2 linked regions of the Arabidopsis thaliana genome follow. The protein of the gene in region 1 purifies or fractionates together with the protein of each later gene. This does not show direct contact. Each region holds a gene or a part of one and is shown on either strand. Other genes may lie near its edges.

What was found.
Region 2: the proteins of AT5G28850 (region 1) and AT3G57890 fractionate together in Arabidopsis thaliana (co-fractionation; one large-scale study listed by BioGRID). This does not show direct contact.

The regions. Positions count from the first base shown.
Region 1 is NC_003076.8:10,876,248-10,883,486, reverse strand, and holds AT5G28850 (Calcium-binding EF-hand family protein), read left to right. Parts: upstream 1-2,001; 5' UTR 2,002-2,208; coding exon 2,209-2,361; intron 2,362-3,211; coding exon 3,212-3,439; intron 3,440-3,529; coding exon 3,530-3,635; intron 3,636-3,717; coding exon 3,718-3,817; intron 3,818-3,930; coding exon 3,931-4,036; exon of another isoform or gene 4,037-4,070; coding exon of another isoform or gene 4,071-4,127; coding exon 4,128-4,218; intron 4,219-4,763; coding exon 4,764-4,905; intron 4,906-4,996; coding exon 4,997-5,144; intron 5,145-5,277; coding exon 5,278-5,387; intron 5,388-5,471; coding exon 5,472-5,628; intron 5,629-5,771; coding exon 5,772-5,897; intron 5,898-5,983; coding exon 5,984-6,127; 3' UTR 6,128-6,699; downstream 6,700-7,239. UniProt on the Arabidopsis thaliana protein: Regulatory subunit of type 2A protein phosphatase. Involved in post-transcriptional regulation of HMGR but not in root growth regulation in response to salt.
Region 2 is NC_003074.8:21,436,244-21,442,416, forward strand, and holds AT3G57890 (Tubulin binding cofactor C domain-containing protein), read left to right. Parts: upstream 1-1,840; 5' UTR 1,841-2,027; coding exon 2,028-2,534; intron 2,535-3,045; coding exon 3,046-3,153; intron 3,154-3,241; coding exon 3,242-3,382; intron 3,383-3,527; coding exon 3,528-3,902; intron 3,903-3,987; coding exon 3,988-4,092; intron 4,093-4,221; coding exon 4,222-4,362; intron 4,363-4,700; coding exon 4,701-4,904; intron 4,905-5,015; coding exon 5,016-5,108; intron 5,109-5,202; coding exon 5,203-5,314; intron 5,315-5,408; coding exon 5,409-5,452; 3' UTR 5,453-5,645; downstream 5,646-6,173. Other genes in the region: AT3G57900 (import inner membrane translocase subunit Tim17/Tim22/Tim23 family protein), read right to left, coding at 6,038-6,142.

The sequences.
Region 1 (7,239 bases):
GGGATAACCATTCTGTTTCGAATCGGGCGATCTGATGTTTTCTGCTTTTTGAAATTTAATAAGATTAGATCAATTGTTTGATCGTTTTTTACTTTTTCCGAATAAATGCCTTTGTAATGGCAGCAAACTTTGTTTGATTTATTAATATCAATTTTATGACTTTCACATTTAAGTTTGTTAGATGACTTATAAGTTTCCTGCGAATCCTCGAGATCGGCTTTTGAGTAGATTGGTTTTCACCAGAAGTCATACTCAATTTTTTCTGTCAAAGTCCGAGTTAGATGTTAAGTGCGAGACTAAGCTTGGCTTTTATGATAAAAGTATTCGGTGTGTACTAGGCGCGAGACGTCTCTCGGCTTATGCCTAGTAGACCTATGTATAATTTGAAGAGGGAGTTGCGGGCTATGTAAAAAATAAGTGAGGCAGATTCACCATATTATTTGGGGAGCGAGATGTTGGGCTCAGCTTACTCCCCATAGAGCATCTGTTCGGTAGATCGCGAAATACAGGGTTTGGCTTATAGTTGATAAAACATCCAAAACGACTTGTTTCCGAATAAAGAGTTGATAAAACATAATAAACCTAAAAAAAATGTTAAAAATATCACTTAACAATTTCTCTCATTAATATCATTACTAGATGCCTAAGATTAATTTCATCGTTGGTACATCGGGATAATGTGGTATTACAGTGTATGACTTGCAAGTTTGTATATGAACTTTCTAAAATAAGATTTTCTTGTTGTGTTAAACATCTTCTATTACCTTTCGATTCTCTAGGGCTGGCAAGCATGACATGGCAGTCTCCCATATAGAGAATGATCATTTTTGTTGTCTTCCATAGCTAAATGACTACTATAGTTTTTCTTTTCCCTAGTTAATGTTGTTAATAAGGGGATAATTTTGCTAAATTTGGTAAAAGTACATGAATTATATATGATATGTGATTTAGTCAAGAAAAATTATGTGAACCTGATTAGATTTTACCATGTCTCAGGTTTTCAAGAATGCAATTTTTATTTCCATGGGCTAGTTGAAATAGTTACCTATAAAATATCTTATGACATAAATCGATCTAGATATGATCTACATACAATTAGAAAGCTTAAACGTGGAAACTTAATTGATGATATGCTTTATGGTGATCAAGAAGAAGATATCAACAAAGTGTTGAGATACTAACAAAAATAGTTTTTTTTTCTTGTTGTTATAAATATTGAGTCAGACTTTAAGTTACACGTATTTGCAAACTATAGTTTTGTGTCAGTTTTTTTGATATCAACACATTTCTATTTATTTGGCAACAAAATACTTTTCATAAGAGCATTTCTATGTCATATATTATAATTTATGTGATAAAGATAAAGATCACGATTTCCCGATTGACAAAGAAAACCTTATGAAATATGGAAAACATGATATGAAACACATCATATGTTTCTCATTCGTCAAGTATTTTTTATATGATATATAAAACTTTTTTTCTTTCTAGAATTCATGGCTCTTGTATAAGGTAGATTGTCTAACTCGTTACTCTAGATAGTATATTATATGAAATTTGTTTCGTAAATATTTTTCCTTAAGATTGGACTACCAATTATGAAGTAATATTTTAACTAATGTGTGGTTGACAAAATATAGAAAAAATCAAGAATTCAACCACATGTTGAGAAAAAAAACTTCTACTTCAAATACACTTACTTATTTTTATTATTTAGTCAACGAAATATTAATTTATTTATGGACATATTTTTTAAAATACCATAAAATTAATTTTTATTATAAAACATTATTAGTAGTTTATATTTTTTTGAAAGTACCACTAAAATATATTATTTTCTGAAAATACCACAAAATTACTTTTAAAGTTTTCAAAACTAGATCCTAAACTCTAAAAAATAAACCCTAAACCCCAAAAAACTTAACTCAAACCCAAACATTTAATAAATTATAAACCCTTAAAATCAACTTTTTCTGTTTCAAGTATTTTTTGGGTATCTCTCTAATTTATTTATTTATTTCAGATTGCTCAAAAGAATAAATAAATAAAAGAATTTGGCTGTCTCATTTCCTTGTTCGGAATCGGAGAAGAAGGAAGACTAGATTCGATGTGTTGGTGAAGAAGATCTCGACTTTGTTCAAAATTCCAATTTCGTTCGCCTCAAAGATCATTCTCTCATCTTCTCGACTTTGATGCGATTGATTAAATATGGTGGATACGGTTATTCCCGGAGATATGGCTTGTTTGGATGCAGATTTGTTGCAGCTTCAGGAAATGTCTTCCTTTGTTCTCAATTCTAAACCTGGATTCACTCAGAAGCTCTTCGACCAGTGGCTTTCTCTTCCCGAAGCTCAGCGACAGGTTTCTGCCTTTTGAATTGCCTTCACAATTCTTACACTCATGCTTCTTAGCTTACTCTCTGTTACTTGTAGATTCCTGTAAAGTTCGAATCTTTCTCTGATAGTGTTACAATGATGCCTTAGGTTGCTTAATTACTCTGTTGTGTTGAGGATTGGTGTAAAGTTTGAATCTTTCTTTGATAGTGTTAGTGAGTATTACAATGATGCCTTAGGTTGTTACTGAGATTTGGTTGCTTAATTACTCTCTGGTGTAAAGTTTGAATCTTTTTTTTTGTTTCTTTGATAGTGTTAGTGAGTATTACAATGATGCCTTAGGTGGTTACTGAGAATGGTGTAAAGTTCGAATCTTTCTTTGATAGTGTTAGTTAGATTGGTGTAAAGTTCGTATCTTTCTTTGATACTGTTGGTGAGTGTTACATTGATGCTTACGTTACTGTGATGAAGTTTGAATCTTTTTTGGATAGTGTGAGTTAAGACGCTTAGGTTACTGAGATTTGTTTCTGTTGAGGATTGGTGTAAAGTTCAGATCTTTGATAGTGTTAGTTATTACAATGATGCTTAGCTTACTCTGTGTGAGTTGTAGATTCGTGTAAAGTTCGAATCTTTCTTTCATAATCTTAATTACTCTCTGGCTTCTGTTGAGCATTGGTGTAAAGTTTGAATCTTTCTTTGATAGTGTTAGTGGGTGTTACAATGATGCTTAGGTTACTGAGATTTACTCTGTGGTGTTGAATCTTTCTTGGGTTGTGTGAGTTATGACAATGATGCCTTAGGAGGTTACTGAGGTTAATTACTCTATTCACTGGAATCTCTAGTCTAATCTTTTTCTCGTTTCCTAATCGGTTTTCTAGGTTGGATCATTGCTTAAGGATGCTGTAGCTGGAGCTCCTATCAATGTTACTGGAAGTGCATCGGGTTCTAATTCTGCCACTATACCATCTATGTTTCCTGCGGGAAGCGCTCCTCCTCTTTCACCAAGAAGTTGTGGTTCACCCCGTACAACCAAACAGAGAGCCCCTTCTAACTTAGGTTCTACTCTCAAAGTAGTCAACGAGCCTGTTAAAGAGCCTATACCTCAGGTTTCTTTTCCTCTTTTACTTCCTTCTTTATATATATAGAGTAATGGAATGGAGTTAACTCACTGATTTCTTAACTTGAAATGATTCTAGTTTTATTTCCAAAATGGTCGCCCTCCACCAAGCGAGATTAAAGAGCAATGTATGTTTAGAATCAATCACTTCTTTTATGGTCACATGGATGGCTTGCAGATACAAGGTTAGAAGTCAGTCATTTGTTTTCTACTATTTATATTTTAACTGTTTATTAACTTTTTTCTCCATTTTCAATCAATACTCAGAATTCAAGTTAGTCACCAGAGAAATCTGCAAGCTCCCATCTTTCTTCTCCACTTCCCTTTTCCGGAAGATCGATCTCAACAATACAGGTTTTGTTACTAGGTGTGTGCTGCTGCTTCTATGCTTTTTTTTTTGTATGGTGCTTCCTCTTCATGTCTGCATAGTTTACTGAAACACCACCCAGTATAACAGTTTTGTCGTGTTTGTTTCTACAGAGATGCATTTATTGATTTTTGGGTAAACGGGAACATGTTGATAATGGATACAACGACCCAAATCTTCAAGATCCTAAAGCAGAAAGATCAGAGTTTCATTGTTAAGGTAATTTTCTTTTGATTTGCATATTCAGTCAGTCATGAAAGCGAGTTTATACTCCAGATTCTATTCTTTTCTTTTCTTTTTTTCATGGCAGGATGATTTCAAACCACTACTTAAAGAACTGTTGGCGACGCATCCTGGCCTAGAGTTCCTGCAATCCACACCTGAATTCCAAGAAAGATATGGTTAGGTCTCAACTTCATTTACATTTCCTAATTTATCTAATGTATTCTTTTTCTGCTTGGTATTGCTTGAGTAATGGTGTTTAGTAATTGAGTTTGGTTGTACATTTTATTCTTCGAAGTATATGGTTAGCTACAGCCCTAGTTGAGAAGAATGAGTGAATAAGTTTGCCATTTTCGGTATGATGTACTTATCTAAATCTGTCGAATGGTTACCACATCAATAGTATTTCTAGTGAAATAAGATAATTTTGATAATTGATGCATCAAGATACACTAATAAATGTGGTATTACTCTGTATGGATTTGAAACATTTTATAAGATACGGTTTCTTTGTTGTGTTGTGTTGTGTTAGACATCATCTTATAACTTGCAAATCCATAAAGCTTTCAAGCACGGCATGAATCATCTTCTGTCTATGAATCCTGCAGATGAATCAATATTAGAGAAAAAAAAAAAATCTGGAGCTTGTTTATGAATCATGTATTTTGATGAAACAGCTGATGCTATGCTACATGCTGATACAATTTGCATTTTGATGAAACAGCTGAAACTGTCACCTACAGAATATTTTACTACATAAATAGATCTGGCAATGGTCGAATTACATTTAGGGAGCTTAAACGGGGAAACTTAATTGATGCTATGCTACATGCTGATGAAGAAGAAGATATTAACAAAGTGTTGAGGTACTGACAAAAACAAATTTGTGCTATTGTTGTATATATGGTATTGTTTCTGCTCATTTAACATGACTTTTCTACTTACTTTGGCAAATAGATACTTCTCATATGAGCATTTCTATGTCATATACTGCAAGTTCTGGGAGCTGGATACGGATCACGATTTCCTGATTGACAAAGAAAATCTTATGAGATATGGAAACCATGCTCTTACCTACCGGATTGTCGACAGAATATTCTCCCAGGTTCTGTCTAAAAAATCTTTCTACTTGAGGATTTTGTTTATATTGCTTCCATTTAAGAGTTCTGTCCTCGTTCAAAGTTATTATTACTCTTAAGAGGACTGTCATCATGGATAATGCATTGGTTTCTACTTAGGTTGCTAGGAAGTTCACTAGCAAAGTTGAAGGGAAGATGGGGTATGAAGACTTTGTCTATTTCATTCTTGCGGAAGAAGATAAATCGTCAGTGCCTAGCCTAGAATATTGGTAAGTTGTGATATAAGGGTCCGAAAGTTGCAGACAGATACGATTTTAAGTCTTTTTATCTGACACAAGTATACGTTGGACTAGGTTTAAGTGCATAGACTTGGATGCAAATGGGATTATAACGCGAAATGAGATGCAATTCTTTTATGAAGAGCAGTTGCATAGAATGGAGTGCATGGCGCAAGAGGCTGTTCTTTTCGAGGATATCTTATGTCAGATGATTGATATGATCGGACCTGAGGTTCAACAATATGTCTCTTGTTTTTTTCTTTCTATATTAAGGAAGATATATGACAGTCACAGAAGTAGTTTGGGTTCCCAGTTTTTCTTTCTGACTCTTGCGATTTTGTCTTGTGTTTGATTGTTTTTTATTTCCTTCCACAGAACGAAAGCCATATAACGCTGCATGACCTGAAAGGCTCAAAGCTCTCTGGAAACGTCTTCAACATCCTTTTTAATCTAAACAAATTTATGGCATTTGAAACCCGGGATCCGTTCCTCATTCGTCAGGTACTACTCCACGTTTGATATTCAACCTTGCTGTTTTCTTGACACAATGGGCCTCTTATAACATTTCAAATGTCAAACGAAAACAGGAGCGCGAGAACCCGACATTGACAGACTGGGACCGTTTTGCACATAGAGAGTATATTCGGCTATCAATGGAAGAAGATGTTGAAGATGCATCCAATGGAAGTGCTGAGGTTTGGGATGACTCGTCACTGGAGGCTCCCTTCTGAGTTCAAAGAGGTAGCAAGTCAACAAAAGAAAATCATAATCTCTAGAATGGATTTTATTTTTTAAAAAAGGAAACAAAAAAACTTAGAAGTTGAAGGTTATGGATATGTTGTTATTTCATCATATTAGTTAATCATGCAAAAGAGAAACAGAAAGTCCCTGAGAAGAATCTTTGGAGCTTTGTTGAGAAGGCAAGTGAAAAAACAAGGGAGAAGCCAGTAGTATCATACTTAGCTTGGAGTTGTTTTCTAACTTCTCTTCATTTTTAGCTGATTTTACAACTATATTGATTAATAATCGTCGTCGTTTAGCTCATCGCTTTACGGCTTCTTCATCTGTATTGCATTCACTTTGCTCCATCTCTGGGTTTTTTGTTTGTACTTTAGAGCTTTGTTACTCTCATGATCTTCAGTTGTTCAAAAATTGTGAAAATCAATGCCATAGTTACTTTATATGTTGGTTAGTTCTTGTTTTATAGGAATCCTAGGACATGAATCTTTTAGAGGTATTGTTTTTATGGATAAGAGAAAGCGCTAAGGATTTGTACTGCTTTAGCTTAATGTTTTATCAAATCGGCACAAAAAAAAACTGGTAACAATGGTAAGCACTAAGCAGTTACTAATCCGACCAATTCAAGTTTACTATTCTGATCACTAACCATGTATCGCAACAGTACAGGATGTACTAAAACCGGTATAATAAAATGAGCGTTTAATACCTAATACTTTTTGTTGAAATAAAAATATCTCATCTAATTATTTGTAGCTTCAAAATACTTCGTATATAAACTATTGGTGATATCAAATCCGGAAGCTAACAGCCGTTAACAAGGGATGAAGAAGAAAGAAGAAAAAAATCAAAAGAATTGCTAAGAGGAGTACTCGAACTCACGTCCTTTACCCCTATAAATTTAAGCAAACTTTAAAGGGGGTGTATTGAAAGTAAAATTTTAAGAAATTTGTGTATAATTTATAAATCATATGTTATTCAAACATGGATTTTAACAACTTTCGTGGCTAAGGAAGTAATGCCCAATTAAAATAGGTCCATCGATTCAACAACATTTTTTGTGCCACGAGAAATCGATTGGGGTTGTGATCCAACTAGCAGGATT
Region 2 (6,173 bases), on another chromosome or scaffold:
TTTTCTCCAGAGGTTTAAAGACAACGTCACGGTAATTGTTTCGTCGAAAAATGACTATTTTAAACTGTACGGTTCATGGTCACTTTTTGTGTATTTACATAAAGAAAAAATATTAAATTTTATACTCAGAATTAGGTATGGGCACGAAGCGGATATCCGGAAAAATTATGATATTTGTTATTCGATTCGTTTTAAACGAATACTTGATTTTGTGATTCGCTTTACTTCGAAAATTTCCAGATATCCGGAATTTCGAATATCCGGAATTTTTTGTGATATTTGCGGATATCCGCTTTGATACATTTAAATATTAAAAAAATATGTATACTATATAACTATATCATATATTCAAAAAATTTATCCGTGCGTTCCTTAATTGGTGTCTCCGTGTGCTTTTAAAATAAGTTCTAAATACCAAACATAACCGTTGTTGGTATCACCGGTCAACAAAATATTATCAAACTAATTCCAAAACTAAAACCCGATAGTTTTTTGATGCCATTGATCAAAACATAACATAAAAAAAAATGATCAAACAAACATCTTAACATAAAAACATAAAATGACAACAATACACAAACTATTTATGATATCTATATATAGATATACTATATTTTCTAATATATATAAAAAGATACGGATCGAAGCGGATATTCGATTTTTTAAAAAACAATATTTATTATTTGATTCGATTTTTACGAATACTATATTTTTCTATTTGCTTTGCTCCAAAATCTTACGAATATTCGGATTTTTCGAATCAAATTAAATCAAATACCGAATCGAAACGGATCAAATCAAATCAAATCAGAATATTGAGCTAGCTGAATGAATGAGATAACCTAAGAATCCAAAAGTTGATAGTGTTCCCTTTCCGAATTCCAATAGTAGCTTGATAACATTTATTTAACGGCGATAAATTCAACCGTTAGTTTGATTACCAATCAAATAATTGCTTGCAATAGACGGATGAAACGAGTGGTAAGAATAGGTGATTGAAACAAACGGTTAAAAGCTTAAACAAAATAGGTGAGTTTGCAACCTCTCTTGTTCACCATTGGAATATTTTAGTTATTTAACGTTTCTTAGATTTTTAAAACTGTAATGTATTTGAATTATTTACTAAAGAGTTTTGTTTTTCTTTGTTTTTTAAATATTTTTAGTTATTTATTAAATATTTTAATTTAGTTTTTTTTTTTTACTGTTTAACCGTTTGTTACTAATCATAACTATTATTTAACGGTTCATTTTAAATTATTTATCATTTTTTCTTTTAATATATTTTCTAACCGTTTTTTTTTATCAGTCTTTTTTGTAAGTGTTAAATAAAATAACCGCCTTATTTAAACGATATTACCAATTGGTTTAATTTTAGGTTGTTCATCTTTTCTAACCGTTTTTTTCTACCCGCCTTTTTCTGTAACTGCTAAAAAACATAACCGTCTCATTTAAACGATGTTTACCCATTGCAAACCATTTTCCTTAAACAAGCGGACAATATTTAAATTGCAATGAAAGCGAGTTATGAGTTCTTTTGGCCTAAACTTCCCAATTTTATCTCTCTTTTTCCCACTAATCTTCTAACAATTTTAATTAACAGTGACAACTTACAAGTACTTAGGTAACCAAGTATATTTCCCTATTGTAAAACCTAATTATGAGTTGTGATGATCACCTTTTCTCCTTTTGACGAACGCTTAGGACCTAACTTATTGCAACAATGGCCTAACTAAAACTTAAATGCGATTTGCATTCAATTCTCAAATGGGCCTCTTTAGTTAACATGTTATCTCCGTTCATCTGACGTGTCATAGCTCAGATCAAAGGTTAATCTACTCGTAAATCCAACGACCAAAGAAACGAAGCGTACGTTACTAACATACACGTGCACGCACTGTAACCATCTCTCTCTCTGCTCTTCTCCTTCAATGAAATGATTCGTCACCCAAAGAAAGATCTGCAACTTCACCACCGGACCAGTCTCTCTCTATCTCTTCTGTCTCTCTACCTCGCGCGACGAATCAATCATGACTGAAGAACAAGACCTCATCGACCAATCACCACCACCTTCAGCACCCGACCCTGAACCAAACTCGAGCACGAATCCGAATTCAGTAATCCATCCAAGGCGTGTGTCTTTCGAGCACGGACTCCTCCCGATCCAGAAACTCGTTTTCACCGACCCGATCCAAACCTTAGCCCCTGTCAAGCAGAAGCTAGCCGATGCGGCTTCGAATAACCGCGTTGGATCGGCTGCAATCGCCGACGTTCTCCAGATCTCCGGCGACCATGCGCGTCTCGTTCTCGAGACTCTCGGTTCGGTGCTTCATTCCGAGTCTGACCCTCTGGTTCGGGCGAAACCTGAGGAAGTTGATTCCGTCGGAGCTGATTTGCGGGATCTTATTTTGTTCCTGTACATTCAATCGTATAAGAAGTTGCTTCCTAGGACGCATAAGGACTCCGCAGCGGTGGCTGATGTTTGGCCATCGACTTCAGCTTTTGATGGATACTTGTCTGCGTTATCGCCAATTCAGGCAAGTTTCTTACTTTTTTTGGCCCTCTTATTATAATGTGCCTCAATCCCAGCGCCTGCGATTTGTTTGGTATTGAAATGGAACTGTTGTACTCGAGTATGGAATTGGAACGTGGTAGAGAATAACTTATTTCCATTTCGCATTGTATTTAACTAAAATTTGCAATGCAAGTTTAAGTTTTCTGAGTCATTTGATTTACCTGAAACTTAGAGTTAAGCAATGTCGGAAATTTGGGTGATTAATTGAATTGATGGTGGCTATAGTTTCGTAACAATTCTCAATGAGGAAGATGCTTACTTGTATTTAATTGCCAGTCCCCTTTCTCTGATGACTCTGGGGCAATGGTAATTGGTTAGTTTACTAACTAAAGTCAAACAGTCGCCAGCTTGCTTTGTTTTGTGGTTCGGAATCTGATTCTTTTTCCGTTGTACCTTATTTTGTTTGGTCCTTTCACGTGGTTTATTTGGTGATAATGCTTGGTGTGTTCTTGAATTTTGACTCGGGTCTCCAGTCCTGTAATATTCTGTTTCCTGTGTGGTATGGATGTTCTATTGAGTCTTTTAGAAAACAGTCATATAATCTTAAGCTTTTCAGTGTTTTCTACAGTCACTGTTCTTTGGTATTCTATCGTTTCTCATCACATGGGTCGAACCAACTTTATTGGAGCTAAAATTGTTATTTATATCTCCTTTTCATCATTTCTGCAGCTTGTTCGCAGCAACAGCCGTCGATTTATGCCATCACAGGCAGATGATGAAGCTCATCAGTTGTCATATCTGCAAAAACATTTAGCAAACATCATTTCTCTCCTTGCAGAGCCTGTGGAGGGAGAAGGAGATGAATCATTGGTAAGTTCTAATCTTTCTTATATTCTCAGGGGGTGTCACTGTTCTAAGCTACAAGAATATAAAATTCTGATGTTGGAATAAGAATTTTTTAGGAAATGAAAGAGAACACAAGTTAATTTTTTTTTTCTTGTCCAATATCGTTCAGGTTTTCTCTATGGAGGCGTTCGAGCATCTGCGTTTTCTTGTTCAGTTTGGTGATAAGGGATCTGATGTATCTCCATTGAGCCAAGCTACTCCTTTTTTTGCAAATTCTGATCCGGATATGCCCGCTGTTCCAGTCCCCGCTTCCCAAGTGCATGACTGGCTTCTGCAAAACATAGCTTCCGCTTTAGAAAGCATTACTGAGAGAATTTCTGGAAAAGAGAACGGACCTTCTAACGATCAAGATGATGCGATGTCAGATGTTTGTGCTGCTCCGAACAAGGTTGCACCTAGTACTAGAGGCCCGTGTTTAATCGAGGGAGTCTCCAAGACTTCACTTGTTAAGCAAGCCTCCGATCTAAGGGGTAGATCTGTGAAGGTCTGACTGTTCCTTGTTCCGTTTTTCTTCCAGTCATGGAATCTCTGTGCAAGCATGTCAACTCCTTGTTTTGTGTATTTTTCAGGTTGTCAATTGCCATGATTCTGTAATTTATCTTTTAGCACCATTGCGATATGCAACTGTGCACGGATGTTCTGATACTACTATAGTTTTGGGAGCTGTTGGCAAGGTATGGAAACAATGCTTCTTCCTTCTTTATCTTTTCTGAAGATAGTCAAAGCAACATTTAACAAGTTATAATATCTGCCAACTTTTATTAAAAGATGTATCAAACATAATTCCGTATTTATTTCTGCAGGCAATAAAAGTTGAGCACTGTGAAAGAGTTCATGTGATTGTAGCTGCCAAACGAGTGTGCATTGCCAATTGTCGTGAATGTGTATTCTTCTTGGGAGTCAATCAGCGGCCACTTATTGTTGGTGATAACCACAAACTGCAGGTGAAGCTTCTCTTTAAGATTGTGGTTTAATTTACAAGTTTTATGTCATGTTGCTCTTATTTACCTTTCTGATATTAAGGTAAAAAAAATTGAGTGGCTAGACTTTTTACTAGATTTAGTTTGGTTAGTTTGGTTAATAAGCCGTTTCGGACACGTCATCAAGTCTAGTGGAAACAAACTTGGAGGGGTGGCTAGACTGCTGCTAGATACGTTTAGTCAAATGTTTTCCTCAAGAAGGTTTTACTGGTTTTTAAGAGTGCGGGCATTGTCAGATATTGCTTCTAGTGATTATGGGCTTCTATTTTTAAAGTGCTGGCATCAATTTGACTTTGTTTCAGGTCGCTCCATATAATACATTTTACTCTCATTTGGAAGAGCACATGAGGGAGGTAGGGCTTGAGCCAACGATCAACAAATGGGACAAACCATTGGCCCTGGGAGCTGTGGATCCACATGACTCCCTGTCACATCCTGCCGGTGTTGCTGATGCACAGGCTGAATCAGCTGCTTCTGTAGACCCTGACCAGTTCGTAAACTTTTTGGTACATTTTCTATTTGGGTCTAACATTTACGTCAATAATTGGTGAATGCTTTTCAGTGTCATGAAGCATCTAATGACGTGTTTTTCGGTGGTATCAATGACAATGGCACAGATCCCAAACTGGTTTAGCGGCGCGGAGCTTGGTTCGACGAAAGACAATCCATTTCCATTGCCAGATGCTTATATGGCAGCTCAGCAGAGAAACGTATGTTTTAAAGTTATACTTAACCAGATAAACAAATGCATTTGTTATTTTTGTCCATATCTGATCTTGTATCTGCAATTTTTTTTGTCATCAGCTTAAGAACTTTGAAGAAACAAGACGATCGTTAAAAGAGGCGCCTCTAGAAGAAAACCGGAAACGAGAGCTATCAAGTGCACTCCATGTTTATTTCAAAGACTGGCTTTACGGTAAGAAAACTTTCTCTGAATCGATCCCTACTTTACTTTATTGATATGCATCATTCATTAGGTTTTGACTTAGTCTATGTTTTTGTTGCGACAGCATCTGGAAATATAAGGCAACTCTACTGCCTACAAGGTGACTAATAAGAATAATAGACCAAGCGGAAAGTGTCTTGTTCATGTAGAGCTCCTTCGATCATATTTGGCATATTGCTAGTGAAGAAACCCCACCCCAAGACCAAAAGAAAAAAGAAAAAAGAGAAATCAGCCTGATTCAGTGATTTGTAGTTTGGAACCAATACTTCACAACGTAACTTATCTGCACAGAAATACTCTCTTAAAGCTTTCGTTTAGATTATTGTTTTCTTGATTTCTGCTTTTCTTTCCTTGACATTTCAATCCATCGTTTTTGTTCCCTTCTCTATTGAAAATCTCATCTTCAAATAGAGCATGATGACTTGAATTGTTATAAGTTATAACTTGTAAGCAAAACTGTTTTGATAGATAGTCTTGTCTTGGTCAAATAGATTTAAGTGGACGCAAGAGTTAGGCTACTACCATGGTAGGTGCAAATTTCTGAAGAAGTTTTAGAGCTCCAAAATTTCTCATATTTGCAGAATCTCATATTCGTAGAAACATCCAAACAATGCAACATAACATGAACATCTCAAGATACAAAAACAGAAGGACATGGGATGGAACAGAGATATCCATGAGCGCAGGATCCAGCTAATAATGAGTTCTTGCTACTTTAGTCATTGTAATGTGTGCTCCATTGAAGAAATCTCTCTTAGCTCTAAAGTTCTGCACCAACTGTTCAACACCAATGAACACCTCCAATGGCAGCAAAAGTCAGCCCGTGGCT